3 linked regions of the Sus scrofa genome follow. The protein of the gene in region 1 interacts with the protein of each later gene in a pairwise test. Links are inferred from orthologs where the notes say so. Each region holds a gene or a part of one and is shown in the gene's direction. Other genes may lie near its edges. The genes, in order: ARHGEF11, PLXNB3 and PLXNB2.

Evidence for each region.
Region 2: the proteins of ARHGEF11 (region 1) and PLXNB3 interact in a two-hybrid assay, tested with the Homo sapiens proteins (2 studies listed by BioGRID and IntAct). The link is inferred for Sus scrofa from reciprocal best matches to the Homo sapiens genes ARHGEF11 and PLXNB3.
Region 3: the proteins of ARHGEF11 (region 1) and PLXNB2 interact in a two-hybrid assay, tested with the Homo sapiens proteins (2 studies listed by BioGRID). The link is inferred for Sus scrofa from reciprocal best matches to the Homo sapiens genes ARHGEF11 and PLXNB2.

What each region holds. Positions count from the first base shown.
Region 1 is NC_010446.5:93,133,047-93,142,214, forward strand, and holds part of ARHGEF11 (rho guanine nucleotide exchange factor 11), read left to right. Parts: intron 1-916; coding exon 917-1,013; intron 1,014-1,237; coding exon 1,238-1,360; intron 1,361-3,713; coding exon 3,714-3,737; intron 3,738-4,840; coding exon 4,841-4,985; intron 4,986-5,297; coding exon 5,298-5,397; intron 5,398-6,173; coding exon 6,174-6,203; intron 6,204-9,168. UniProt on the Homo sapiens protein: May play a role in the regulation of RhoA GTPase by guanine nucleotide-binding alpha-12 (GNA12) and alpha-13 (GNA13). Acts as guanine nucleotide exchange factor (GEF) for RhoA GTPase and may act as GTPase-activating protein (GAP) for GNA12 and GNA13.
Region 2 is NC_010461.5:124,503,809-124,513,577, forward strand, and holds the start of PLXNB3 (plexin-B3), read left to right. Parts: upstream 1-4,144; 5' UTR 4,145-4,295; intron 4,296-5,655; 5' UTR 5,656-5,764; intron 5,765-6,001; 5' UTR 6,002-6,250; intron 6,251-6,882; 5' UTR 6,883-6,891; coding exon 6,892-7,926; intron 7,927-8,314; coding exon 8,315-8,494; intron 8,495-9,107; coding exon 9,108-9,236; intron 9,237-9,315; coding exon 9,316-9,416; intron 9,417-9,769. UniProt on the Homo sapiens protein: Receptor for SEMA5A that plays a role in axon guidance, invasive growth and cell migration. Stimulates neurite outgrowth and mediates Ca(2+)/Mg(2+)-dependent cell aggregation.
Region 3 is NC_010447.5:386,489-396,203, forward strand, and holds the start of PLXNB2 (plexin-B2), read left to right. Parts: upstream 1-3,858; 5' UTR 3,859-4,009; intron 4,010-9,650; exon of another isoform or gene 9,651-9,715. Other genes in the region: protein DENND6B, read left to right, coding at 1-126, 214-316, 451-525, 606-728.

The sequences.
Region 1 (9,168 bases):
ACCTCTGTGGGCCTGGGTTGGGTCATCTGTACAAAGAGGAAATTGGATTCCTAAGCCTGGTCATCATCAGGATCCCTTGGGGGCTTCTGTCTTAGAATTACCAAAACCAGGGCCTCCCCCACCCCACCCCACCCGCAGAGTCAGACTCTCTGGAGTGTTTCTGCTCTTGTGTTTTTGGTGGTGTGTGTTCCTAAACCTGTGCTGGGTGGGGAGCCAGTGAGCTAGGTGATTGCTCTGTTCCCTTCTCGTTGTCAAATCATGAGTGGAAGAGCCAAGGAAGGGTGCCAACCTGAGAGGCTAATCACAGGAGCTTTCTAGAGGGTCTTGGTTCAAAGCTGCCTTCAAAAAGAGGTCCTTTAAAGGCCTGGATGATAGGAAAGCTAATGGGCACAGACAGAGGGTAAAGAGAACTTGCTCCAAAGCAGAGCAGAGGGTGGCCAGCCACTCCCGGAGACGTAGCCTCAGCTGAGTGAAGCCAGGTGCAAGGACAGGAGAGACACCTTCCAGTTTCTGGTGGGAAGTTGGGTTTCCTGTGCAGTGCTTGCCTTTTGCAGCCTTGTGAGCTGACCCTGGGGCGGTGGAATGAGGATGAGCCTTGCAGAGGTGTGCATTTAATGTCAGAGGGCAGTGTCTGGACACAGGCAGAGAGGGGATTTAATAGTTCTCCACTCAATGGAGTGTGGAACATCCCGGAAACGATTTTGTCCTTGCCTTGGGACTTGGATGTCAGAATTCCAGTCCTGAATTCAGGAATGACCTGGTAGGTCCAGGCCTCCACTTCCCTTGGCTGACAGGAGGGCAGAAAGCCAGCCTCTGCCCCCGGTGCCACAGGCAGCTAAGAGGCTTTGAGATGCTCAGCAGATGTGACCTCCTTCTCCCGACATCCCTCCCCTTCCTGTCTGGGCTCCCACCACAGACCTGCGCCTGCGGAGCGGCGAGGATGTGCGCGCTGTTCTCTGCGAGGCTCAGGAGGCCGCCATGCCCGACATCCAGGAGCAGATCCAGGACTACAGGTGCCCGGTGCCCCCCGCCCCGCTCTCCCCTCTGCCTCCTCACCCTTGTTCTTGACCTGCGGGGTATGTGTCTCGTGTGTGTGTGTGTGTGTGTGTGTGTGTGTGTGTGTGTGTGTGTGTGTTTGTGTGTGGTGTGTGTGTTGGTGTGTGTGTATGGTGTGTGTGTCTGTGCACCTCTCTGTCAGACGTTGGTATACGTTTGTTTCTTTCGCTCTCTGGCTCAGAACAAAGCGCACGCTGGGGCTGGGCAGCCTGTATGGTGAAAACGACCTGCTGGACCTGGATGGGGACCCTCTCCGCGAGCGCCAGGTGGCGGAGAAGCAGCTGGCTGCCCTAGGAGACATTTTGTGAGTCTCCGGTTCCACTCCCACCCCTGAACATGCCCAACAGTTTGACACAGTTTGTGGGTCTATTTCCTAGTCCCTCCCCCTCTGCCACTTCTTGCCTGATCCTTCTTCCCCCGAAAGCTGGGGAGAATCCTGCCCTCCTGCTCCATTTCTCAGGCCGGGTCTGTGGGAGTTTCAAGGGAATTGTGGAGCCTGGAGCTTCTGAGGGCAGTTTGGTGGTTATAACAAACCTCGGGCCTCAGCATCGCAGTGAGCTTTCTGGCCCCTTCCTGCCGCTAAGATCGCATCTGACACTGAGTACAAGAGCCATGCAGTGATTCTCCAGGGGGTAAAGTTCCTTCAGGAGGCAGGCAGAACTGGCTTACAGGAATCAGACCGTTTTTAACTAATCATATCGGAAGACTAACCAAACTAAACTTACGAAGGAACTCCTGGCACAGCTGCTGTGAATGCCTCTTTCCAGCCCTATTTTCTAAAGTGTTTCAGGTGCCTGGGTTGACTTTGTGGGGACACTTCCAGGCTTAGAGGTAGATTTTCACCCCAGTACTGCTTCTCCACTCAGTAATTGTGTAACCTTGATCAAGCCATTGCATCCCCCTCGGTCTCATCTATAAAATGACAGATCTTGGGCTAGACAATCTCTGTAGCCTCTACTAATGCTGATACTTCAAGCCAGCAAGTTTTTATGGAGTCTCCGATGGTGCTAAGCACTGTTCTAGGCTCCTGGGATGCATTAGTAGAGAAACAATGTTTGTGGAGCTTGTGCTATTGTGGGAAGAAAAAGCAGTGTGTATTATGCAGGTAAATTGCAGAGTACATTAGAAAATGAGGGTTGGGGATCAGGGAACAGAGCAGGCCAAGGGGGCCCAGGAGCATCTGAGCCAGGGGATTGCACCTTCAAATAGCGCCTCATCCAGACGTTTACATGTAGGGGGCATGGGCATCCTCGGAAAGGGGGCATGGGCATCCTCGGAAACATCTTGGAGGAAGAGCATCCCAGGCAGAGGGAACAGCCAGGGCAGAGGAGCGACATGCTTGACATGTTTGAGTGCAGAAGTCAGAGGGGCGACAGGAGAGGCGGCCTCCCAGAAGCTGTGGACAGTTGTAAGTTTCTTTCCTCCCAGTGAATGAGGAACCGTTGGAGCCGGGAGCAACTTGAGAGTGGTGGGAGAGCAAAGGAGGGTTCCAGGCAGGGAGGTCAGTTACAGGAAGTCCCCCGGTAGGGCTGGCATGGGAGCATTGCCCCTGGGGCTGTGAAAGGAGTTCCAGGTATGTTTTGACAGGAGGGCCAACGGGAGGATTTCCTAACAATTGATGTATAGGATGTGAGAGAAAGAAAAACCAAGGAAAAGGAAAAAAACTCCACGTTTTTTACCTAAATGACTAAAAGGACGAAGCTGCCATCCGTTGAGTTAGGTACAGCTGTGTGAGAAGCGATCCTGTGGTAGAAAATCAGGGCCTCGGTTTCAGACGTGTCAAAATCTCAGATCTCTTTTAGACATCAAAGTGGAGAACCGAGTAGGCAGCTGCCAATAGGAATCTGGCATTTGATGAGAGGTCCCACGGAGAGGACATATTTCGTCTTTGAAAACAACCCTCCAACCTTCAGCTGAGCCCTGAATCTTTCTGGGCCTTAGTTTCCCTAGCGATCAGATGGCGCTGATCACCCCGATGACACCAGGGATGGAAGCAAAAAAGCTGCCAGAGCCTGTTCTGAGATTGTAGGCACCACAGAATTACATGGGATTGTTATTGACAGCATAGGCACCCTGCTTCTAATGGCTTGTATTTAAAAGAATGCAGCCTCCGTTTCATTAAATGGAGATGTAATGGATTATTTGGGTATAAATAGTATACATGTAAATAGCCCTTGGCCCATAGCGAGCACACAGATATTAATTGCTGTTCCCACTTACCTCTTTTAAATAGGTTCCCCTGAATCAGGTCCCAAGGTATTATCTCCGCTGTCTCACCGTCTTTCCTCTTGCCTCAGTGTCAGCCCGACCCTTCTAATTGAGTTCTAGGTGGACACAGGGAGGAGCCTCTTCCTCCCTAACTTCAGAGGCTGAAACAGATAGCAAGCCAGAGGCTGCATTTGCCACGCGCCCCTTCCTTTTAGCTAGAAGGACTCCATCATCATCATCACTCTCTGCCCATTGAGTCCCTCAGCGGAGTGAGGACCCGCACCTCCTGAGCCCCAAGGCGGCTCCAGGGCTGAGACCAGGAGTCTGAGTCTGACTCCCTCCCCGCCATCCCTTCCTCTAGGAAAGAACTCACCCGCCTCCCGGTGTGGCACAGGCGGACAAGCCTCTGCCTTTGCAGTCTGAGTCATCTGTTCTTTCTTTTGTTCCAGGTCCAAATACGAGGAAGACAGGAGGTGAGTGAGTCTGTGGTGTGGTTTCAAGGTGGGAAGGAGTGGAATTGAGCTACCGGGCTTTGCATCTCTGCCCATCACAGGGGAACCCGCAGCATCATAGGATCACCAGCTGTGCAAGTTTAGTTCCCAGACGCCCGTGTAACCATAGCACAAGGAGGTCGCTGCCTGGGACGTGTGTCTGCTCCTCGGTGTGAAGACACCAAGCTGCCAGCCCTCCCGGCACTCCTGCTCCTGGTCTCCTCCACCCACGTCGCCCTGTGTCTGCCTCCCCACTTCTCTCTCGTAAACCGCCTAAAGAAGGAACAGTGATGGGGTCACCCCCCGGGAGCAGCCCCTGCATTGGGGAGCTGGGGCACAACACACGGCTTTTCTTGGCACACTTTTTCCCTTTCAGCCTGTATACATACATGTCTTTTTGTTTCTCAGCAGGCGATGTTAAATGAGTGTGCATTCCTTGAGCATACACACACTTCATAAGGGAGAGACGGTGGGGTTAGAAGTCTGTTTGAGAGAGGAGGAAAGCCAGGGCCAAAGCATTTGCTTCATTGAATCCGCAAAGTGGATAATCCATCTTCCAAATTGAGAGCCAAATAGATTTTTAAACACAGAGATCTGGATAGTTTCATTCGTGGCACTTGGAAGCGACTCGCCAGATCCTTTCCATCTCTTTTTCCCCCCTGTCCCGGGGGTGGGAGCTTGGTGGCGAAGGCAACTGACCTGTACTTAGAGGGGCCGCTTGGCATTTTTCCCCCATCCGTCTGCCACTCAGCCCTCTCGTGTGTGCCTGAGGACATTAGCCGTGGGCCACAGCGATTCTCCAGGCCTGTTCTCCTTACCTGCTTTTGTTTGGGGAACTGACACGTCCTTCCGCAGACCCCTGTCCTCTCGTCAGGTGGAGTTCTGTGTAGGAAAAGAACACAACTTCTAGAAGTCATGACAGCCAAGACTTTTGCTGGCTTCTGCCTGCTGTCCCATTTGAATATCCCAGGCGTCCTTCCGAACACCCTGGCTCTTCGCCACCCACCGGGTGGTGGCGAGATTTTGTGCAGCAGAGTTCGGGCTCTGCCACCTGCTGAGCTTTCTCACCCCCGTTCCTCTCGCAGTGCCCCCATGGACTTCGCCCTCAACACCTACATGAGCCATGCGGGGATCCGCCTTCGAGAAACACGACCTTCCAACGCAGCTGAAAAGGCCCAGTCTGCTCCTGACAAGGACAAGTGGCTACCCTTCTTCCCGAAGACCAAGAAGGTGACAGAGCTGCCCCAGAAAGCAGCCATCTCTGGGTGTGGCCCCCTGCATCTCTGGGTGTGGCCCCCTGCACTGAGGCAAACTGGGGTCTAGCTGCCTTTGGACGTGGAGTCATTGAGAATCCCCAGGCTAGAGCCATGCTCTCCCTTCCTCCAGCCCCAGGCCAGAAGCACATGTGCTGGTCCTGGGTACAGGCATGAGTCTGTCTTCCAGTTACTTGTTTAGGGCCCGTCATTGGGGCAGTGACAGGGGGATCCATGGCCAAGTTAGGGTACTGGGACCTTCTCCAAACCCTAGCGTCTTTTGTCTCAGCAGAGCAGCAATTCCAAGAAAGAAAAGGATGCCTTGGAGGACAAGAAGCGAAACCCAATCCTCAAGTACATCGGGAAGCCCAAAGGCTCTTCCCAGAGCAGTGAGTATTTGGGGAGAAGGCACTGGGCGGGGATCCCAGCTCCTTCACAGGCCAATTCATGGGCAGAGGGTCTTCCTGTGCATCTGGGAGCCACAGGCCCAGACTCCGAGATCGCAGCCTGCCCTCAGCGCTCCTGTCTTCTCCCTTCGCCACCCCCAGCACAGGCGCCTGAGGTACAGGTAACTGCTGCAGAGCCAAGGAGGCCGAGCCAGTCCATGGGTCTAGAAACTCAAAGCCGGTTGTAGGTACTGAGCAGCCATGAAGAGGAACTTTCCCCCTGGGCAAGATTGCCCTATTGACAGTCAGTGCCTGCTTCGCCTTCATCCCTGGGATTGGTCTGTCCTGAGGGCCTGTGTGTTAGGATGGGCCCTTGATAGTGAGTTTCAATTACTGTTTAGCAGAATTAGGTAGAAAGGGGGCAGGTTGGGGCCCCAGAGGTTCCCCTCATGCCATTGGTAACCAGACCTCCATTGAGCTTGTCACCCATTCTTCCCAGCTGTGTGTCATCTCTGAACGTTGCTGCTGGCCCTCCCAGTCACTATCTTAAGACCCCAGAATTAGTGTTGGGAACCCGGGAAGGGCGATGGCCCGGGGCCAGCTGCCTTTCCGGAAATTGCTGCCTTGGAGGAAGTGGGGGAAGGCGGGGACTCGCTAGCTCAGCCCTGATTTTTGCCACTACCTTTCATTTTCCTGCTTGATATAATTTTTATTTTGACTCTTGAAACATTAATTCGACTTTTCATGGTTTACTTTTGTTTTTGTTTGTTTTCTTTTAGCATTTCATATTCCCTTGTCCCCTGTGGAAGGTAAAAGGACCATTTTCTTTGGGTTTTTCTTTGCATTAGCATTGAGTTTCCATTTCCCAAGTCCTGTCTGCCCTTCTCCTCTCCTTCTTCGTCTCCTCCTGCCCTGGCTCTCCTTCTTCCTTCCCTTTCCTCACCCCATTGCTCTTATATGCACCTCCATTGCTGTAGAAGCTCCCTGTGGCACAAAGCCCTGCCCAGGGGTTCCTGTCCTCACGCTGGGCACAGGATTCTGCCTGCCTGATGCAGGGTGGGTGGGGCTGGGGCGCTGCCCCCCAGGAGCAGCTCCTCTAGGTGCCTGCAGAGACCAGCTTCTGGGCCCTCAGAGACTGTTCCATGGCCTGAGGCCTTTCTCCCTCATTGTCACCTTTCCATGGATGGGGCTCCAAAATCCAGGGCTCTGTGTCAGTGAGGAAAACCCTCACATGTTGAAATGTCCCATACGAATTCCTCAGATTTTGTTTTCAATTGAAAAAATTATAAAAATCCTTATTTTTGAATGTTATGTGAGGGGTTTTTTTGGTTTTGTTTTGTTTAGTTAATAATGAGCCTTTAACAGTTTTGCTTTGGGGTATTTTAATTTCTGTCATCTCCTTTACTTAAGCCCTTCACTGTAGCACCTCTGTCTCTTTAGACTCCTAACTTTGCAACAGTTAAAAACAATGACCCTAACCCATGTATGTTAGAGGACCTGATATCTTCTAGAATCTGTGTATTAAAAATAAATATATAGGAAGTTCCTGTTGTGGGAACAAACCTCAGCAGGAACAAACCTGACTAGTATCCATGATGATGCAGATTCGATCCCTGCCCCACTCAGTGGGTTAAGGATCCGGCATTGCCTTGAGCTGTGGTGTAGGTCGCAGATGTGTCTTGGATCCTGGCTTGCTATGGGGCTATGGCTTAGGCTGGCAGCTGGAGCTCTGATTTGACTCCCTAGCCTGGGAACTTCCATATGCCTCAGGTGCAGCCCTAAAAAGCAAAATATATATATATATATGTACTATATATTATATGTATATATATATATATACATATAATAGATAGTAACCCAAAAAGGCTTATTAGCACTTAGAACTAGACAGGTTTATTTCCCATCAACAAGGTCCATATGCATACAATTAAGTGATTAATATATTCTAGGTTCTGTAGTAAATCAAGAGGAGAGATAGCAGTGAGATGCAATTAGGAAGTTAATCTTTGCTAGAATTCATTTCATATAAAGTGACGAAAATAATGGTTTTCAAAATTATTTTTACAGTTAAATTCCTAGGCTTGCTATGCTATTGTAAACAATAAAAATAAAGAATTCAGAAAAAAGGAGTTCCCTCTGCGGCACAGTGGGTTAAGAATCCAACTGCAGGGGCTCAGGTCACTGCAGAGGTGCAGGTTCTATCCCCAGCCCAGCACTGTGGGTTAAAGGATCCAGCTAGTCACAGCTGCAGCTCTGATTCAGTCCCTAGCCTGGGAACTTCCATGTGCCATGGGTGCGGCCATAAAGAAAAAGTCCATAAAACAATGGGAAAAAAATAAAAGAACAAGCTTGAAACCCAGACCCTTAGTTCTTAACACATACTTCCTCCCATCCACCCTGCCCCGGGCCAGCATGAGGCAAGCAGCGGGCCTGAGACCAGCAGCCCTGCCCAAGTTGCTGCTTTGTGTCAGCCTGAGAGGGGACAGGAACACCCAGGGTGGGGCTACAGATCCCAGGAGCAAGATAAGGATGCTGGGGATTCACCACCTTTGAGTCAGATCTTTCTATTATCATTTCAAGATTGGATTTGATGTTCTCAGGTTCCCAGGACATCAGACAAATCTGTATGTGTATCTAAAGACCAAACACCCACCAAAGCTAAAAAGCCTCAGTGTTGAGAACTTGGCCATTTAGGATCATCGCTCTTGCCCCTGTTTATTAGCAAAAGAACGTGATTGTTAGTAACGTACAGTTGACTTTTGTTTAGTTTCATGGTCACTCAGAAAATGGAGGAAGGAGAGCAAATGCTACCAGTGAAAACTGCTCTTTTTCAAAAATGTGCTCCTCTCTAGCTGTTTGTTTTACTGTTGCTCTGGGTTATTCACTTATACCAAATCTCAGGACCACACCTATTGCTTGTCACAGCTAGAGTGTAACTATATCCCAGGAACAACTGGGCATTTTCCGGTGGCCAGTGGGAGAGGGCGCTGTGGGCTCCGCCTGGAGGCGTTCTGTTATAGGATGTTCCCAGGCGGCCGCATCATCACCCAGCCAGGGGACGCTCAAGGCTGTGGCTGTGCAGCTGCCCCTGGCTCCTGCAGCTGCCCCAAGGTCTTCAAGCACACTCAGTCTGGGACAGGTAGATCTGACGCTCATCTACAAGATGGGAGTGATGGTAACAGCCCCTGCTCCAAACGCATACACACAGCCACATATTTTCCAGTTTCAGCAAAATGTCACCTGCCTAAAGAACATGAAGTGGTGAGCTTTGAAGAGACCAGCTAAATGTTTTTCTGTTTCTTCTGGCTTGGAAATTCTCTTATGAATCTCAAGCTTAGATACACAGGAAGATTTGTAAGAGTGTATGTGCCAATGTCAGAATCTCTCATTAGGAGTTCCCATCGTGGCTCAGTGGTAATGACTAGTATCCATGAGGATGAAGGTTCGATCCCTGGCCTCGCTCAGTGGGCTAAGGATCCTGCATTGCTGTGAGTTGTGGTGTAGGTCACAGGCATGGCTTGGATCCCGAGTTGCTGTGACTGTGGTGTAGGCCGGCAACTGTAGCTCTGGTACAACCCCTTGTCTGGGAACTTCCATATGCCGTGGGTGCGACAGAAAGAAAATCTCTGATTAATATGGTTAAGACCAGGGCCTGGTACCAAGGGTTATTTGTCTTAGCTTCCCCATCCCACTTATCCTTCCTGTTGGTCCAGGCAAAGCAGCATCTCTAGCCCACCTCCTGTTCTGACATCCTGGACCTGGAGCTGAGCTAAA
Region 2 (9,769 bases), on another chromosome or scaffold:
GAATTATAATGAAAATCTAATATACGCTGGAAACGAACAATGAAAACACTGCCTGTGAAAACATGGGCTGAAACTCAAGCAGTATTTAGGAGGAAATGTACAGCCTGAACGCAGGTTGGTAAAACCGCAGTAGAATAAACCCAAAGAAAGGAAACAAGGAAATCAGAGACAGCAGAAATTCATGAAAAAGAAAAAAGGAAAGATCAATAAAGCCAAGCGCTGCTTCTTTGCCATTGGTAAAAAAAAGAAAAGGCTCTGGCAAGAATAAGAGGAGAGGGAGTTCCCGTCGTGGCTCGGTGGCTAAGGAACCCGAGCAGGATCCATGAGGATGCACGTTTGATCCCTGGCCTGGCTCGGTGGGTTAAGGATCTGGTGTTGCCGTGAGCGGTGGTGTAGGTCGCAGATGCAGCTCGGATCCTGCGTGGCTGTGGTGTAGGGCGGCAGATGCAGCTCCGATTCGACCCCTAGTCTGGGACCCTCCATATGCCAAGGGTGCGGCCCTAAAAAGACCAAAAAAGGAAAGCCTGAACAGTCCCGTAATTATGAAAGAAGTTGGTAACATGTCAAATGTACGGATAGCGGCTAATGGTTGCAGAAACAAGGCAGTTCTAGATCGTTTTACAAATGAACTCTATCAAAGCTTCAAGGAATAATCCCTGTGTTGGATAAATTGTTCCAGAAAAAGAGGAAACGCTCCAACACCACCACCACCATCCAGCCCAGAAAATGCAAGGGTGGAATCACCAGAAAATCATGACCCATAATTGACCACATCAACTGACGAGAAGAGGAAAATTACGTTATCAACTCAGTGTGCTCAGAAAAAGCATTTGATAAAACTCAGCAGGGCAAACTAGGACTGGAAGGGAACTTTCTTAACATCATAAAGTTGTCTATAAATATCTCCTGCAAACATTATAACCATAATTAAAGATGAAACATTAAAAACATCCTCTTTGCTTCCATGAAACCTTGTAATGTCCGGGGAATTAAAGTGAGGTGGAATTCCCGTCACGGCTCAGTGGGTTCAGAACCCGACTAGTATCCAGGAAGATGCAGGTTCGCTCCCTGGTTTCACTCCGTGGGTTAAGGATCCAGGGTTGTTTCACTCCGTGGGTTAAGGATCCAGGGCTGCCGTGAGCTGTGGTGAAGACGGCAGACGTGGCTCGGATCCCGTGTTGCTGCGCCTGTGGTGTGTGCAGTTGCAGGTCCCATTCCATACCTAGCTCCCCCCCGGGCACGTACGGATGCCCCAGGTGTGGCCCTGAAAAGAAATTTTAAAAAGTAAATCATATATATAAGAAACTGGAGTTAAAAGGATTGGATGTCAAAACAAACAAACAAAAAGCATTGTCTCGTGGCTAAGCCAGTTAAGGATGCAGCGTCGTCACTGCAGCGGCTTGAGTCGCTGCTGTGGCATGAGTTCGATCCCTGGCCAGACAACTTCCACACGCCCCCGGCATGGCCAACAACAACAACAAAGGGTTGGAGAAGAAACCCAAAAGAATCCACAAAAGGAATTATTAGACTTAACGCAAAGGGTTTACGAGGTGGGCTGAGAGAGAACACACACAAAAGTCAATTGTGTTTCCTTGTCGTACACACCAAACCAACACGATATTATAAGTCACCTCTAATTCAATTTTTTGTTTTTGTCTTTTTGCCTTTTTTCTAGGGCCGCACCCCTGGCATAAGGAGGTTCCCAGGCTAGGGGTCTAATCGGAGCTGTGCCAGAGCCACAGCAACGGGGGATCTGAGCCACGTCTGCGACGTACACCCCAACTCACGGCAACGCCGGATCCTGAACCCACTGAGCGAGGCCAGGGATGGAACCACTAAGCCACAGCGAGAACTCCCTAATTCAATTTGTTAAAGTCAACTGTGTTTCTATGTACCAGCAGAAGAGGGTAGGACTTCCCCTCATGGCTCAGCAGTTAACAAACCCGACTAGGATCCCTGAGGTTGCGGGTTCGATCCCTGGAGAGACATCCTACGCTCAGTAGACGGGGAAACAATATTTTAGAGACGACTCGTCTCCAGAGGGATTCAAAATTCAACAAAATCTTCACTTACTCCTTCAAAAAAAATCCCAATAGAGTTTTTCCTGGAACTATGACAAGCTGTTTTTGAGCTTCTAAGGAAAACTAACAGTGCCTAGAACAGCTGAGGAGGTGAGATCATTTTGAAAGATCAGGAGGACCGGGCGGAGGAGGAAAAGGAGAAAGAGAAAGCGAATTTTAAGAAGTGACTCCCCCGTATCAAGACCTGCTTTGAAACCTGAGTAAGTAGGGAGTTCCCTGGTGGTCCAGTGCTCGCTACTTTCACCACTGTCGCCTGGGGTCAGTCCCTTGTCTGGGAAGTGATTATATTCAAACTAAGACATGTGTTCGAGATCCCTTGCGACGCAGTTTAAGGATCCGGCGTTGCCCCTGCTGTGGCTCCGGTCGCCCCTGCGTGCAGGCTGGATCCCTGGCCCAGGAACTTCCGTGTGCCATGGGCGTGACCACAAAGAAAAAGGAAAAAGGAAAAAGTTGTGTTCGTCAAATGATATCACAAGCAAACTGCAAAGAAACACAAGTCACGGGCAGAAAGAGGACATAACAGACCAAGGACCGGTATCCGGAATATGCAAAGAATCCCTCGAGACAGTAATGGCAAGACCACCTACCCAGAAAAATCGGTGAAGGCCTGATCAGGCGTTTTGCAGAAGCTCGGCATTGCCAGCGGTCGGCCAACGCCAAATAAAAGCCCAGCGAGGTAGCACCATTTCACACCCAGTGCACTCGGTCCAAGTTTTGGTGCAGATGAGGAGAAGGAGAAAGAAGTGGCTGCACAGTGGCATCGGGAATGTCGTGCGGGCCAGCAGCGCCGAAATTGATTCCTCTGCGCCCGGCGCCCTGACAGCGTGTGTGCCCGGTGACCGGGCGAGTCCCCAGCCGGCATCGGGAGAAGCCAGCCCTCAGCACCCCTGTCAGGGACACAGGCATCGCCAAAGGACAGCCGCCAGGGTAAGGAGCCGTTTGCAGAAGGAAAATGACAGTGGGACTCCCTTTGTATCATTTTAAAGCTCACAAAATTCACTTAACCCGCTGAGCAAGGCCAGGGATCAAACCTGCATCCTCATGGATACTAGTCAGGTTCTTAACCCACTGAGCCACAGCAGGAACTCTACCAAACTTCCTTCACGAAGACCCCAACGGCTCCATTGGCTATGTCCTCCCACCTCTCGGACCCCTCGGTCCTCCCAGCCTCCCCTCCACTGGCACCCTGGCTCCCTAGGGAGCAATGCCCCAGAGAAAAAAACCCAGGGAGCTCCTGCCTTCGCCGCTGATGCCATGCCTAAGGCCAAGTCTCTGGGCTCTGCTCCTCCCCAGGGCATGTCTGGATGCCTCCCCTCTCTTGATGCCCAGAGCCACCCCTGGGCCAGGCTTCCCCCAGGCCAGGCCTCCCCCATGCTCTCCACCTGAGGGCCACCCGTTTGCACCCTGCCCAAGCGCAGAACGAAGTCCAGTGCTTTTGCCACAGTGCATTAGGTTTAGCGCCCCGTGGCCTGATGGTTAAAGGGCAGGCGCCTTGTCACTTCCTTGCTACATGACTTGGTGCAAGTTCCCTGACCTCTCATGCCACCTTCCCCACCTGTGAGCCATGGGCGATAGCTGCTCCCCCCTGTGGGGTCATCGGAAGGACTGGAGGATGACAGTAGGAGTAGAACCGTGGGGTTCAAGGTCAGCTTAAACCTCACTTCCTCTGTGAAGGTCTCCCTGATACCCTGAGCAGCGCCACCAGACTGGACTCCCCTTCCTTGCTGACCCACAGTACCCGCCACGGATGGGCTGTCCTAGCAGGAGGGTCCTGTCTGCTGGCAAGTAGTTCTGCCCCTCAGACACTTGCGGCAGACGGCAGTGGGCTTTGTCTCTGAATGGCCCCAGGGCAGGGGCCATGTCTGGCACCCAGTAGGCACTTCATGGAAGGCTGTGAAATGCCCAACTGCCTCCCTCGCCCCCCTCCCCGTCGTGGGAGGGTACCACCCCGCTCTCACCCTTTCCCGACAGGTGCGCGCAGCCAGCCTGCCGTCATTCCTCCAGAGGCCAGCAGAGGGCAGCAGTGCCCTGGCCCGCGCCGCTGTCGGGTGAAGGGGCGGGCGTGGAGGGGCTGGGCTGCCTGGGTGGCCCGCCGGGACAAGTCGGGTTGGGCGTTGGGCGCGATTGCATTGTGGGGCAGGAGGCTGGGACTCCTCCGGGACACACTCCTGGCACCACCAGCTTCTCCTCAGCCCCTGCCGGCGGCCCACCCAGGTAGGCCGGAGCCTGGGCTGGCAAGGGCACTGGGGGCAGGGGTCAGCAGGTCACCAGGTCAGTGTGGGGGGGTGCCATCTGGGGGCATGCTGGGGCCCAGGAGAAGCCAGGGGTCTGCAGGCGGACTAGCCTGAATCCGGCAAAGACGCCAGCCCCATCCCTGTGCCGACACCGCCTGATGCCTGTGGCACAGTTCCTTCCCCACCAAGACCGGGGGGTGGCCCTGGAGCTGGAAGGGAGGACTCGCGGGGCTTCTGCCCCTAAACGGGAGACCTGGCACTTCCGGCCACAGGGCAGGGCATGGGGTGGGGAAGCAGCCCGCCTGGCTCCCTGCCCCCACAGCCACCCAACCAGCCCAGCCAGGTGGCAGGAGCCTGCTGCTAACCACCGCGCACACACGTGGAGAAGATGGGGACCCCAACTTGAGCACACCTGTTACTGCACCTCGGGCCACAGCCCTCGCTCTGCCGGCCTGGTGTACAGATGGCGCCCTGGGAGGGTGGCAGGAGAGCCAGCTGCAAGCTGCCACTCCCTTCCCCATCCCAATCCCATGTGTGCAGGACTGTGTCTCCCCCGGGGGAGGGAGAGGGGACAGCCGGCAAAAAGCCGCCAAGTCTGAAGCTAAGGGCTTGCTTCCCGCCCCCTCCTGTGCCCCCTCCAGAAGCATCCTCCACCAGCACTGCCCACTGCCACCAGACTGTACCTGGCACGACTTTGCCAGTCCCCGGGGATGGGGCCTGATGGGGCCAATCTTATTCCGGGCTAAGGGGGCAGGGGGGTTCGGGGAGAAGGTCTCCTGGGCGGGCTGCCTTGGCCAGCCTCTCCCCTGCCCCCAGCCTGGACAAAGGCAGGCATTGAGGGCCAGGACTTGCCTCCAGCCCGGCACCAAGGCTACTAAGGCTGAAGCTGGCATTGCAGGGCTCAGAGCCTGGCCTTTGCATGGGGGCTCCATGGCCTACCCTGTGCCCTTCACAGAGACCCCGGGGGGCGACACAAGGGAGGAGCACGCTGGCTGGCACGGGGCATGGGGGAGGGGTGCTGCCTGTGTAAGGAAACCCTGTCCCTTTGTCCCCAGATCCCAGGGGGTGTCTCTCTGGGGGTGGGGAGTGACAGGGAGCCCCCTGGGTAGGGATAAGAATACCAGATAGCGGGTCCCTGGCCTGGGCCTCTGGACAGAGGGGACAGAGGGGACATTGTTGGGGTGGAGGCAGGGCTGCCTCGGCCCGGCCCCCATTGACAAAGCTGCCAGCTGTGGTGGCGCCTGGCTGCCAGGCCCTCGGCACCCCCCAACCCCCTCCCTGCCGCCTCCCCTGGTGGGACGTGAATGAGGCCAAGCCTCAACTATCTCCCTCCCACTCAGGACAATGCCCCCCCGCAGCCGCCTTGTGCCCGTCACCACTGCCCCAGGGCAGCTGAACTGAGATGGCCACGCTGCCCGGGAGGCACCTCTGCTGCTCCCCTTTGCCACGGTAAGTGCCTGAGCCCAACGTGCCCAGAGACCTTCCCCTGGGGACGCGCAGGGCCAGGAAGAGCCCGAGGAGCCTGGACGCCAGCACTGCACCTCCCGCTGCGGTCGCCCACCCCAGACACTGGCGCCGATAGCCGGGGTCTGGAGGAAATGGCCCTGTCCCCAAGCCGGTCCTGACCTTCCTGCCTGTGTTTCTGAGATAAGGGCTCAGGGGCCTTTCTCGGGGCTCTACCCGCAGCTGGCGTGCCCGCCAGGGCCCCGAGCTGGCAGGATGCTGAGTGACAGTGCGCCTGCTCCCAGCCGGCACACGCCCACACGCCCGGCTGTGCGGGACCCTAACTCAACTTAGGACCTGCTTCCGTCTGCATCCGAGGTCAGGAGGAGGCTGTGGCGCAGGGGCTGCTGTGAGTGGATCCTGGCTGGGCAGTGAGGTGGCAGGACCCAGCGGGAGGCCCACTCGGAGCCTCCTCTGGGCGCCACCTGACAGGTGCGGAGGCACCACGCCCGCTGCTGCCGGGCCTTTCTTTCAAGCCCTCCCCTCCGTCGAGGCCTCCTCCCAGCTGTCTTCTCTCTTGTGGCTTCCCTCCCCACGCCACCCCTCCCTGTGCCGCTGGCGGAGCCCATGCTGGAGCCACGGGGGGGTGGGGGCAAAGGACCGGCCTCCTCCGGCCCCTGCACCCCGCGTGGTCTCTCGGTGCCCTCAGCCCTCACCACCGCCCTCGCTGGCTTTGCAGGGGAGGGTCCCCCCCGCCCCCCCGCCCTCCTCCCCCTGCTCTCCCCGCCCCCCTCTCCGTTGCTCGGGGTCCCTTCGCTGGTGCTCCTGTGGCTTTTCAGGATCTGCCCCCTCCGCGTTGAGAAGAGGATGAGGAAAAGTCCTGCTTCGCACATGCATTCGCCCTCCCCGCCCGGGTCCTCTGCCCCTTCCGCCTGCGACCCTTTCTCTCCCTCGTTTTGTCCCTCCCTTTGCTTCTCTCCGCCCCCGCTTTCTGCTTCCGTCCCTCTGCCCCTCGGTCCTCCCGTGCCTCACTTTCTATCCATCTCTCTGCTGGACTCTTCCATCCTTCCGTTCCCATCAGCGCCCTGACTGGCGCCCTCTTGCCCGGCCTCCCCCCCCCCCAGGGCCCCGCGATGGCTCCCCGGCCTCCCCTTGGCGCCCTCCTGCTGCTCGTGCTGCCGCTGCTGTGGCCACCACGCGCCCCGACCCGGGCCCACCGCTTCTCGGCACCCAACACCACCCTCAACCGCCTGGCACTGGCGCCGGACCGGGGCACGCTCTACGTGGGCGCCGTGAACCGCCTCTTCCAGCTGAGCCCCGAGCTGCGGCTGGAGTCAGTGGCCGTCACGGGCCCCGTCTTCGACAGTCCCGACTGCGTGCCCTTCCGGGACCCGGCCGAGTGCCCGCAGGCCCAGATGACCGACAACGCCAATCAGCTGCTGCTGGTGAGCAGCCGGGCCCAGGAGCTGGTGGCCTGCGGGCAGGTGCGGCAGGGCGTGTGCGAGAAGCGGCGCCTAGAGGACGTGGCGCAGGTGCTGTACCGGGCCGAGGACCCTGGCGATGGACAGTTTGTGGCCGCCAACACCCCAGGAGTGGCCACGGTGGGCCTGGTGGTGCCTGGGTCGGGCCGGGACCTCCTGCTGGTGGCCAGGGGCCTGGCGGGCAAGCTGTCGGGCGGGCTGCCGCCCCTGACCGTGCGCCAGCTGGCCGGACCGCAGCCCTTCTCCAGCGAGGGCCTGGGCCGCCTGGTCGTGGGCGACCTCTCTGACTACAACAACAGCTACGTGGCCGCCTTCGCCGATGCCCGCTCTGCCTACTTTGTCTTCCGCCGCCGGGGGGCCCGGGCACAGGCTGAGTACCGCTCCTACGTGGCCCGGGTGTGTCTGGGAGACGCCAACCTCTACTCCTACGTGGAGGTGCCCCTCACCTGCAGGGGCCAGGGCCTCGTCCAGGCCGCCTTTCTTGCCCCGGGCACCTTGCTGGGGGCATTTGCTGCGGGCCTGAGGGGAGCACGGGCGGCCCTGTGCGCCTTTCCCCTGGCTGAGCTGGACGCGAGCATGGAGCGGGCCCGACGCCTTTGCTACACGGCGGGAGGCCAGGGCCCCAGCGGCACAGAGGAAGCCACTGTGGAGTACGGGGTGACATCGCGCTGCGTCACCCTGCCCCCCGTGAGTGCCTGGGCCCCCTCTCTCCTCGCCCGAGGCTCTCCTTCCCCCTTCTGGCAGAGGCTCCGGCCCTCTCCCGGGCCTCGTCTTACTTGGCCTGCCTGCCCCTTCTGTCCCTGTCCCTCTGAGGACCTGCAGCGTCTCCGACCCAGGGCCGGGGCTGCCGGACGCTCTCACGTGACAATGCCCCACGGCCGCTGGTCTAGAGGATGCCAAGGAGGGGCTGGCTCAGTCCGAGCCCCCTGGCTCGCCTCAGCCTGTCTGTCCTTCCGCCCCACAACCTTAGCTCTTCTCGCGGCTGCCTTGTCATCCTCTCCCCACTGCAGATCTGGCCCCAGGAAGGTACCTCCTACCTCCTCCGAGAACCGATCCCCCGCGCTCTGCCCCGCAGGACTCCCCCGATTCCTACCCCTGCGGCGATGAACACACGCCCAGCCCCATTGCGGGCCGCCAGCCCCTGGAGGCTGGGCCTCTGCTGCAGCTGGAAGAGTCCATCAGCGCCGTGGCAGCCCTCCAGGCAGATGGGCACACGATAGCCTTTCTGGGGGACGTCCAGGGCCAGCTGCACAAGGTAAGGGCCTGGGCAAGGAGGGGGTGGCCCTAGGCCGGCCCCCAGCCCCCAGCCTCCATGCGGCCAGGCCGGGCCAGCCTCAGTGGCCTGCCTGGGTGCGCCCTGGCCCTGGGGCGGCTCACAGAAGCCCCAGATTCCTTCCACCTGGGCCTGTGTCCTGCTGGCAGGTGGGAAAACCATGCCACACACCGATGGCCGGCTGGGTGCCGCCTCCTATCCGGGCTCCCAGCTGTGTGGCTTATGATGCCCCCCGGGCAGCCCCGTCCCCTCCGGCCGATAACGGGAGACGCGGACTTCTGGTGGCCTCCTTGTCCCCCACAGCTGCCCTTCTGCTCCTGGCACCCAAGGGCCCCACCATGCCCGGCCTCCCTGGCTGGGGCATGCCGAGTCAGGGGGGCACCATGGGCAGGCTGGATGCCGATGGGCCTACCCAGCCTCCCCGCCATGGCCAGGGCTCCCCGGCCTGGCGGGAAGGGGAGCCGGCTCTGTGGGGCGGGATGTTCCCTCCCAGCCAGGAGAGCACATGCCCCGAGCCCTTGGTGGCCTGTGGGCATCTTGAGAGCGAGCCTTGGCTCGGTGGGCTGGCCCAGCCCCGTCCTTGTCATCCTCCCAGGTCTTTCTCAATGGCACCCAAGGTCAGGTGTACCACTCACAACAAGTGGGACCCCCAGGCTCCGCCATCAGCCCCGACCTGCTGCTGGACAGCGGCGGCAGCCACCTCTATGTCCTCACTTCCCAGCAGGTGAGGGCTGTCGCGGGGGCCGGGCGCGCGAGGCTCCAGGCCCTGCACCCACCACCTCTGTCCCCCGCTGCCTGTCCAGGTGGACCGGGTGCCCGTGGCGGCCTGCTCCCACTTCTCTGACTGCACCAGCTGCCTCCAGGCCCGGGACCCGCTGTGCGGCTGGTGTGTCCTCCAGGGCGGGTGAGTGCGGAGCTGTGCCCTCACACGGGGCACCGTCCAGCCCCCCCGGCCTGCCCCAGCCTGCCAAGCCGCCAAGCTGGCTGGCGTCCGCTTCCCAACACTGCCAATGTTGTGTTGTGCCAGGCCTGTCGCCTCTCTCAGGGCTCCCCCGGCCCACGCCAGCTCCCCTCCAGACCATGCTCCACAGGGCACCCCCAGGAATCCTTCATGGCAACCCTAAGTCAGATAGATCCACGTGCGCCCCTCCAAGCAGCCCCCCTCCACTCCTGAGAGTCAAGGCCCGGCCCGCACATGGGGCCGCGAAGCCCTCTGTGCTTGGCTGCTTCTCCCTCTCGCCCCCACTGCTCGCCGTG
Region 3 (9,715 bases), on another chromosome or scaffold:
GACCCCTCCCCAGATCCGCCCCTTCCGCCAGGATGACTTCCTGCGCAGCCTGGAGCACGCAGGGCCCCAGCTCACCTGCGTCCTCAAGGGGGACTGGCTGGGCCTCTACAGGTGGGTGGACAGCAGGTGAGGTCCTGGGGCACCTGCTGCTGGGGGCTGTGCCCCCCTCGGCACACGGGCTCAGCCCCAGAGCCACCGTCCCTGCCCCCACAGGCGGTTTTTCAAGTCCCCTCATTTCGATGGCTGGTACCGACAGCGACGCAAAGAGATGGCCCAGAAGCTGGAGGCCCTGCACCTCGAGGCCATCTGTGAGGCGGTAGGGGGAGCTGTCTGAGGGAGAGTACAGAGGGGCTACGGGCCCGGCTCTTAGGGGCTGGGCCGGGGGGGCGCGGGAGGAGGGGGCGGGAGGGGCAGGGGCCTTGGTGACGGTGGCCCTGTCTCGTCCCCCAGAACATTGAGGTCTGGATGAAGGGCAAGTCCGAAGTGGAGGTTGTGGACCTGGTCCTGAAACTTCGGGAGAGGCTGGTGAGACGCCTCCCGGCCCCGTGCAGCACGGCCAGCCAGAGGCAGAGGTCCCCTGCCCCTGACCACCGCTGCCCCTGCAGGTGCGGGCACAGGGCCACCAGCTCCCTGTGAAGGAGGCGACGCTGAAGCAGGCCCGGCTGTACATCGAGACGGTCATCAGCTCACTGCCCAAGGACCTGCAGGTCATCCTGTGCCCTCCCTAGCCTGGGGCCGATGGTCAAGGGGCCTAGCTGCCCCTGGCAGCCTGGGTCTGGCCGAGCTTCCTTCTCCCTGGTCAAGCACGAGGTCCCCAGCAAGGTGCCTGCTGCTCGTGGTCTTGGCCCCTACCCAGCACCACCACTGTCCCAGCAGTAAAGGCAGCATCTAGAGCCGCAGCTGGCCCCTGACTGTTGGCACATCGTGAGCTGGCCACAGCCCCACCTCCCCCTGGGCCCCACTTGCTTCTGCAGGGTCTTGGGCCAGGGGGGCGGGGCCAGCATGGTCCCCCTAATCTGATCTGGGCCTCTGGCCACCAGCCCCCTCCAGGCACCCATCTGCCTGAAACCTGCCATCCCACATGTGGTACCTGATGTGTCCTTTGGGCTCACCCAGCTGCCCAGCCCAGGTCAGAAGGAGGTAGCTGCCAGGCAGCCCACCCATCTGTCTGTCTGGCCTGGGGGCACCTCCCCATTGTCATTGGCCTGGGAGCAGGGAAGCCACTTTGCCCTGAGAACTCTGCCCTGTGGGCGGTTGGGAGGCTGCTGGGGCCCTGGTGGTGGCCAGGAGGGTCCCGGGCACTGTTTCCTTCCAGTCCTGGAACACCCCCTGGGCACAGCTCCCTTCCTCTGCCCAGGCTGCTTCTCGGCTGCGTGGCTCTACCCCACATGCAGCCGGAGGGGTTTGAGCCTCCAGCCTGGCCAGGTGCCTCCGGCCGGAGCCCCCACAACCACAGCAGCCTGGGGACACCCCATTCCTTGGCAAGGAGCGACAGGCCCTCTCAAGTGACACATGCCACCATGTGATACCTTGGCGTACAGGGCCCAGTAGTGGCCAGCACTGTCACAGCTCAGCACCGAATGGCCAGCACTGTCACAGCTCAGCACCGAGTGACAGCACTGTCAGCCAGCAGGAGGGGGAGTGGGGGTAGCAGGGGTGAGGCCTTCGGGTAAGTTCCACCTTACCCAACCCTGACGCCTCGTCAAGGGGCAGGGCCCTGAAGGTGCCTACATGGGCATCACGGCTGCTTGAGCTGGTCCTGGCAGGGCCTTCCCTTGTCTGCTGAAGCCCCACAGTCCAGGCCCTCCCAAGTGGCGTCGTGTGGTGACGCCACCAGGGGACAGCAGGCGCTGGTCTCAGAGCTGCCAGCATTGACTTGTCTGGCCCTGACCACAGCCTCAGACAGCTGGCATGGCCCCGTCCTGCAGAAAACTGAGCACAGTCTGGTGCACGGCTGCAGTCTGACAGCAGCGTAGAGGCAGCAGAGAGAGAGAACCAGCTGGAGGCGGGGAGTGCGGAAGGGCCTTGGGGCCCCAAGCACCACTGTGGACAGCCTGTCTGGTCTGGGGAGTGGCCCAAGGGCCATGGCTGCCGGGCATGGGGGTGGCTTGGGACATCGTGACCCCACCCGAGAGCGGGGTGCCCCAGCCATCACTTCAGCGCAGAGCACGGTCACCTCCCTTCCCAAGTAGCCAAGGGCTGCATGGGGGACTTCAGCTGCCCTCCGTCCAGGAGGTCTCCGACTCCTGCGTGCCATCTGGAGGGCTCTGGCTGCGTCTGCGCAGCACCTCAGCGCGGGTTGTCTTCAAGAGGGACACCTGGCAGGGTGGGCAGTGCTGCGAGGGGCTGGGGGGGGCAGAATCTGAAGCCTTCCCTGGGTGCCTGGGCCGAGGAGGGCCCAGACAAGGTTTCCGGGCACAGTGCAGCCGGGGTGGGGGCTAGGTGTGGAGTCCTGCCAACTCCATCTCCCCAGAGACTCCTGCCTTCCCTGCCAGGATCAGGGCGGCTCTGGCTTGGCTGAGCCTCTGTCCCCCCACGGGGCTGGGGTCAGAGAGTGAGGAGGGCAGGGGGGGCAGGTGGGCAGAAGAGGCGGAGCCATCTCCTACCAGAGCCCCTGGGCAGCAGGGCCTGGAGGGGCTGCAACTCCTGGTCTGAGGCCGGGGTGTGAGGGTAGTGGTGTGCGTGGGCCCGGGGTGGGGGTGGGGTGGAGGGCGCCAGTGGGCGGCTGCAGGGACAGGAAGGACAGTCCTCACCCCCCAGCTTCCTGCACTCTATTTAAAGACTCTCTTTTAGGCTGGGATGGTGGCCTTCCCACATCTTTGGTATTAAAATGCCCTGTGACACAATGCTTGTCTTTTAATTTCCTTTTTTGACAAAAGTTGGCATCCCTGTCAGAACTTGGTTATTTGAGGGTCCCCTGTGATGAACGTGGGGTGGGTCTTGGTGTGATTTGCTTCAGGGCCGAAGGGGTGAAGGTTTGGCCGGCTGGGTGGGGGTGGGAGGGTAGCAGGAAGAACCGATGACGGGTGACCCACCATCTCCAGTGGCTTCATCTGGGTTGGAGGCTGAGATAGAGGAAATGGAGCATCTGCAGGGAGGGGAAGGGCTGGGTGGAGAGTGGGTCCCCAAAGATGGGAGGGGGCGTCCCGGTATGGAAGTAGAGGTTAGGGCTGGGGAAGGGTCCCACATCCTTCCTGGGTCCTCTGCTGGAGACTGTGGGTGGGGGGCAGTGGAGCCCCCCCCCTGCTCAAGTCTGAGGGGCTGGGGGCATCAGGACCAGGATGGGTAGGGGCTGGAGTGGCCGGACGGACGTGGGGCAAACTCTAGTCCAGAGCTGGAGCCCTGGGAGAGGCTCATCTCACCACCCACCTGCGAGCACCCGAGAGAGTAACTGGGTCCTGTGCACAGGTCCCCAAAGGCTCACTGGGGGGGGGGGTCCCAGGGAGTAGGAGAGCAGATGGAGGCCAAGGATGTACTTGAGGGGACACAGGGCAGGTGCCCTCTTCCCCTAGGAGGGTGGGAGGCAAGACCCAGCAGCTCCGAGCCCCCCCACAGGGCAAGGGCGTGGCCCGCCTGGCCTGTTCCCCAGTGTGAGGGAAGGGGTGCTGGTGGCCGGCCCCTCTCCGACAGAACTGCAAGGGTGCCTCGGGGACCTCGGTCTGGCCCCCGCTCTCCTCCAGTACCCAGACCGGGGCTCCCCTGGCGCCAACTTGGACCCGAACCAGGCCCGCGAACGCGCCGCGCCCACCGTGGCCAGCGGGCACCAGGGACGCGGGGGGCGCCCCGCCCGTGGGGCCCCTGCTCTCCCTCCGCCCTCCCCCCTCCGCTCTCCCCTCCCCCGCTCCTCCCCTCCCCTCCCCCGCTCCCCGCCGGGGGCGGGGCCGCTGCTCCCGCGCGCTCCGGCCCCTCCTCGGCCACACAAAGGCCCGTCTCCATGGCAGCCGCGCGGGCCGCAGCACAGCGCCGAGCGCGGCCCGGGCGCCATCGAGCCTCGGCGGCGGACGTGCAGGTACGGAGATGCGGTGCGGGGCCCGCGGGGCGGCCGGCTGGGGGGGCGGGTGGCCGGCCGCGCCGCTCCGCCCTGGCCTGGAGCGCTCGGGACGCAGGGGGACTCGGGCCGCTGCCGCCCGGCGGAGGGCGACTCGGGCCTCTGCCGCCGTCTGTGTGTCGGGCCGTCCGGGGCCGGGCCACTCCCGCCCCACGCTCTTCCAGGTGGCGGGCGAGGCCTGCGGAGCCCGAGACAGCGGGCCCGGCGCAGCCAGGGGGCCCCGGCCGGGCGCCGCGGCCCCTCCCGCCGCCCGCGTCCCTCTGGAGCCCCTCGGACCCCTTGGGGCTCCCAGAGCTCCCCCCCTGCTCACGCCCCCGCTCCTCTGGCCTCGGAGATCGGTGCAGGGGGCGGAGATGGTCTCCGTTGTGCCAGAGCTCCAGGCCTGCACCGCCTCCCCACCCCAGCTCTGGTTCCCCGGCGGCGGCCGAGGCGGAGCCGCGGCTTTCTCCCCGGGAAGCTGGGCAGTGGTCGGGCCTCAGCGCCCCGCACCCCCGGGGCCTTGTGAGGAGGGCGGCAGCCAGGACCGCCCTGGGAGCCCCTGGTCCGCACCTGGCAGGCTGCGAGGCGGGTGCGCAGTTCTGGGCTGGGACCGGGCGCAGCCCAGCGCTGGGCAGGTCCCGGGGGTCCCCGCCTGCTTCGCCGCGCAGCCTGCGCCCAGTTGCCAAGGTTTATTGGGGTGCGGTTTGGGTGGACACTCTGGGGCCCAGGAAGTCTCTGCCGGCCGCCTGGGCCCTGCCCCCTCAGGCTCGGGCCCTGCACCTCTGTGTGCCTCCTCCTGCAGGAAGCCCTCCCAGACGGACCCTTCCCACTCCTCTGCGCTCAGCTGTCTGGCAGATTTTGAGGGGAGTCCCTGAGCTCAAGAGCCTCAGCGCTTCCTGCCACGTCACTGGGCTCTTGCCAACAACTTGGAAAAAGAAGGAAGGGGTCTGGCTGGGCTCGGGGCCTGTGGTGGGGGTCAGGCCTGGGGGTGAGGCTCAGCCCCAAAGCTCGTGGAATGTTCTGGGGCTTGGGGACTCTCTGGGCCCATACCTGCCCTGGGGAGCTCCTCCTTCCAGGTCTAAGTTCAGCCCCAGTGCCCCCCTGGGGCAGAGGTGGGGCAGGACCTGTGGAGGTGGGAGAACAAGCCCAGGGGGCTGGGGGCTTTCGGCCTGACCCCGCGTCCAGATGGTATCCTGGCACAGAGGGGAGCATCTGAGGGTTGGACACCTGCGGGGGGTGCTGTGCTCTGAGGTGAGGGTCCCTAGGAGGGTCACCGTGGGCCTGGCCGGGCCCCTTGGGTATTTTTGGTGGTGTGTCAGCTTTGAGGAATTCCCGGAGGAGACTGAGCGCACGCAGATGGTCCCAGCCTCCCACCTCCTCCCTCCCCTTACCTATGGGGGGGCCACCTCCTTCTGAGGAAGGGGGGCTTGAGGTCTGGCTGGGGCTCCTTGCCCCCGGAGGGGAGGGAAGTTAGAGAAAAACAAGGGTTTGGAATGCAAGTCCCCCCCTCCCCCACCGGCCGCCTGCCAAGAAGGAATTATTTTGGATTATCCAGCCGTGTCCAGCCACCCAAGGGGGGAGGCCACAGCCCTGGGAGAGAGATCCGCTTCCGGGGCCGCGCAGAGAGCCTCCGAAGGGAGGGACAGGCAAGTCTGGGCAGCTCTGCCACCTCCGCGGCTGCTCAGACCGGTTGGGGGCAGGGTGGGGGCGATGCGTCACCCTTGGGCTGGAGAACCGCCAGAGGTCGCAGGCAGGCCCTGCTGGGAGGGCCTGGTGCGGGCCCGGGCCCCTCCAGGGGGCGGGGGGGGGCGAGGGTGCGGAGGGAGTCCTGAACCCTGTTCCCTGGGGCCCAGGGCAGCGGCCCAGCCAGGAGCCCCCTTCACCCCAGAGGCCTTAGCACCGTGGCCCCAGGGCCCTTTGAGGCTGCCCTCCAGGGCCCAGGTCATGGACACACCTTGGGCCGGTTACTCACACCGGTGCTTCCCTGGGGTGACGAGCGGGCAGGGCGGGATGGCTGCTTAGGGTGGGTGGGGCACTGGGCTCTCTCACTGGCTGCATCTCAGGCCACCCTCCTGCCTCTTGACTGACCCACAAACCAGCAGGCGACTGATGCACCACGGTTCTCCAAGCCCCTCCGACAGCCCAGCCCTTGTGCCCCCAAACCCCTCCCACGTTTAGATGTGGCACCTGTGAGCCCATCCCATGGCTGAGGAGCTCAAGGCCAGAGATGGGTCCCTTGGGTCCTTTCAAGGAGCTGTCTGGGATGCTGCTTCTGCTGAGTGGGCTCCTGGGGTCCACTTCGCATGTGTGCAGCCGGTGGCCCTGTAGGGACCACGGTGGGAGGCAGAGCTGACAGCTGGGGCCCAGTGCAGGAAACCCAGGGGCCTGGCCCCAGCCCAGGCGAGTGGAGCGGAAGAGATTGGGGTGGAAGGCACGGGCGGGGGCTGGCAGCCTGAGGAGGGGTCCATATGGCGTGTGCCCTTCTCCCCCAGGACAGCTCGTTGCAGGCCCTTGAGCCGTCATGGTGTCCTGTTCCCAGCCTTGAACTCACAGCCTGGGGGTCAGAGCTGGTGAGCACTCTGGGTGTGGGCAGAGGGTGCCCTGGCAGGACAGGCTGTGGCTTCCAGCGCCTCTCCCGTGGTCCCTTTTCTGGTCTGGGCAGGTCCACTCTGCAGTCCTTCTGCAGGAAGTCCTTACACCACGCCTCAGTCCTTCTTGCTGCAGCGACAAGGCCCCCTGTCCTGCCGTGGCTTCCTGGCCTGGGTGGGGGGAATAAGCTTTTCTCCCCTGTGGAGGAGCCTCATGCCCAGAGCCTGCCCTGGACAAGGGTGTGGGTAAGGCTGGGGGCCGGTGAGGGGCGGAGATGAACTGGTCAGCCTGCCTGGACTCGAACCCAGGCCTGGCCAGAAGGAGGGGGCTGCGCTGGTCTCCCGGCCTCTACCTCCCTCTGTCAGGCGGATGCAGGTTCACTGGCGGCCGGTCCCTAACTGGGGGTGGGGGCTGGCCCGGTCCCTGCCCCTGAGGCTAAGGGCTATTTGTGTTTGGGGTGGGGTGGGTGGGGCCTCTAATCGTCTTTGGTCTCAAATTACAGGCTGGGGAGGGTGGGTCAGTGGCCTGTCGTGGGGGGGCACTGTGGTGCGGGATAGGGGCCAGAGGAAGTGCTGAGGTTCCCTTTTCTCTCTGGACCACATGTGGGCCCTTTATGGTTTTCCCTCCTGAGTGGTTTCACATCCTTTGCTGGACTTCTTCTTCTGTCTGCCCCTGGGGCTTTGAGGACCTCCGTGCCCCCCCACCCCCACCCCTGCTGACCAGGCCAGAACCCTGCTCTGCCCTGGGCTCCCCAGCCACAGGTACAGCCCTGGCTGGGCCCCTGCCCGCAGTGTCACCAGAGCTGGTCCCAGCGCTGGGTTCCTCTGTTCTGAGCTAGTCTCGAACCTGTGACAGTGACTGGACCCAAACCCCCGGTGGAGTTGGGAGTGCCCGCGGGAACACCAGCAGGTCTGCCTCTGCTGTCGAAAGGCAGAGCCCAGGGCTGGCCCCCACCTGGAGCCGGGGTTTTGTTTCCCACCTTTTGTCACTCTCTGGTCCCTCCTGCAGCTCAGCACCCGCCTCGCAGCTCCCCCAGCCCCGCCCCCACCTCGCTGGCAGCTTCCTGCCCTGTGGGCTGGCCCGTGGCCCACCTGAGTACCTGGTGCCCCTTGCACTGGGCAGAAGCGGCAGCAGGGACTAGGACGAGCTGGGTGCCCACACCCTCGGCCTCAGCCCCTGAGATGGCGTGTCCTCCGAAATCTGGCAGCTCCCCATCCTGGCGCCAGATGCGTCCTGGCCTGGGGACCCAGGGAGGGAGAGCGAGGCCTTTGGGTAGAGCCTGGGTTCTGACCCCAGCTGGGCCATCAGCCCTGCCTGGACGGCACTTCTGGGGTGAGACCGGACCCCTGGGGTGGCGCCCCTGCTCTGCAGGCGCAGCTGGCCAGCTGTTCCCATGTGGGGCTCTGGGAGCAGAGGGACGGTGTCGAGCCCGGATCTCCGTGCCTGACGCTGCGCCCGCTGGGCCCCCTCCTCAGGAAGAGCAAGAAAGAGGAAAAAGGTTTGATGTCAGCCTTTCAGGAGGCCACCTGTGTCAACAAAGTGTCCAGGCAGGGGTGTCTGCTCCCGAGGTGGGGACAGCTCCAGCCACTGGCCTGCTCTGCTCTGGGGGCCCTGAGCCAGCATGCCACCTGTGCAGGGCATGGGCCTGGGTTGATTGGGGCTCTACTGCTGCCGTCAGCTCCGCTCAAGCTGGCTGCTGACAGCCTCAGCCGGACTGCTGTGTGGGTGGAAGTAGGGACAGGGTGACTGGCTGCTGCCCCCTCGGGTCTTGGAGTGCTGAGGGGAGAGTGCTGAGCGCGTCCCAGAACAGCTCTCGGGCTGGGGAGCACGGTCTGTCTTGGGGCCCCAGGGGGCTTGCGGCTCGAGTGGCAGATTGGGGTGGCCGGGGCTGTGTGGGCCCTGCCATGGGCAGTCGGTTCCCGGACCATTCGTTGGGTGGACTCTGCGCCTCCCCACCCCAGGGTGTGTGCGGAGGAGGGGCTACTTTGGAGATGGCCCAGGGCCCAGGCCAGGATGCAGTGAGGCTGGTGCCTCCCCTGGGAAGGTGGCCGCTGCCCCTCTCGCCCCCAGTGGTGGGAGCTGGGCAAGTTGGCAGGGTGGAGGGCAGATGGTGGGAGGGAGCGGCCCCCGCGTGGCCCACCTGCTCCCTCCCACATTGGAGTTGCCCCCCTTGGGTGGACTGGCCAGGGGACCGGAGGGGCTTGGCTTCCCCTGTCTTGGCCATGGTGAGCCATGGTGGGCGTCAGGGGAAGGGCTTCAGGATGCGGGGTGACAGGCAAGCCTCTGTAGGTGAGCCCCTGGGGGCGGGGGGTGCTTCCCGGCTGTGCTTCCTGGGCGCCCCTCCCCCTACGCGGTCCCAGCCACCTTGCTGCCCCCGACTCCTGCATCATGTCCCACCTGCCCCCCTGCCTTATCCTGAGCTGGGGCGTTGCCTCCCTGGAAACTCTCTGTCCCTCTGCCCTTCCGAAGCCTAACCCTCCCCGCACACCGGACCCCAGACTCTCTCCAACACCGCCACGCACCCTGTCCTCACCAGGCCCCACCCCCACCTGCGTGGAGCCCTGCCTAGCAGCCCGGAGCTGTGCCCTGTGCTGTGCCCTGCACACAGGGCCCTGCCCCCACCTTTCCCACACAGGGTCCCTTGAGGCCAGCTCCAGGCTTCTCGGCTCTCCTGGGCGTCCTGGGCCGAGCCAGGGCTGGGGCTGCGGCTCCTGCCAGCCAAGTGCTCCTTCAGGTGCTCTCTGCCCGGGAACACTCAGGATGCTGGGGCCGGACCCCTGTGGCAGGCACCCCCTTGGCATCACAGACGTGTGTGCTTGCACATGTGTGATCACATGTGTGTGTGTGAGTGGTGGCTGGCTCGATGGCTTGGCGCAGTGCCTCAGGCTAATTGCGGGGTTCGGCTGTGATGGAGGAGGCGGGGTTGGGGTGACCGCCGAGGCGCTGACAGAGTGACAGGGAGATTACAGGCCTTGCCTGCTCCTTGCTCACTCAGGCCCTCCCCTGCCCGCCCCCACGCCCCACTCCCGCCTCCTGCACACGGCCCGGGAAGGGGCTCTGGGCGGGGGCTGGTCCAGGGCCAGCTGCAGCCGCCATGAG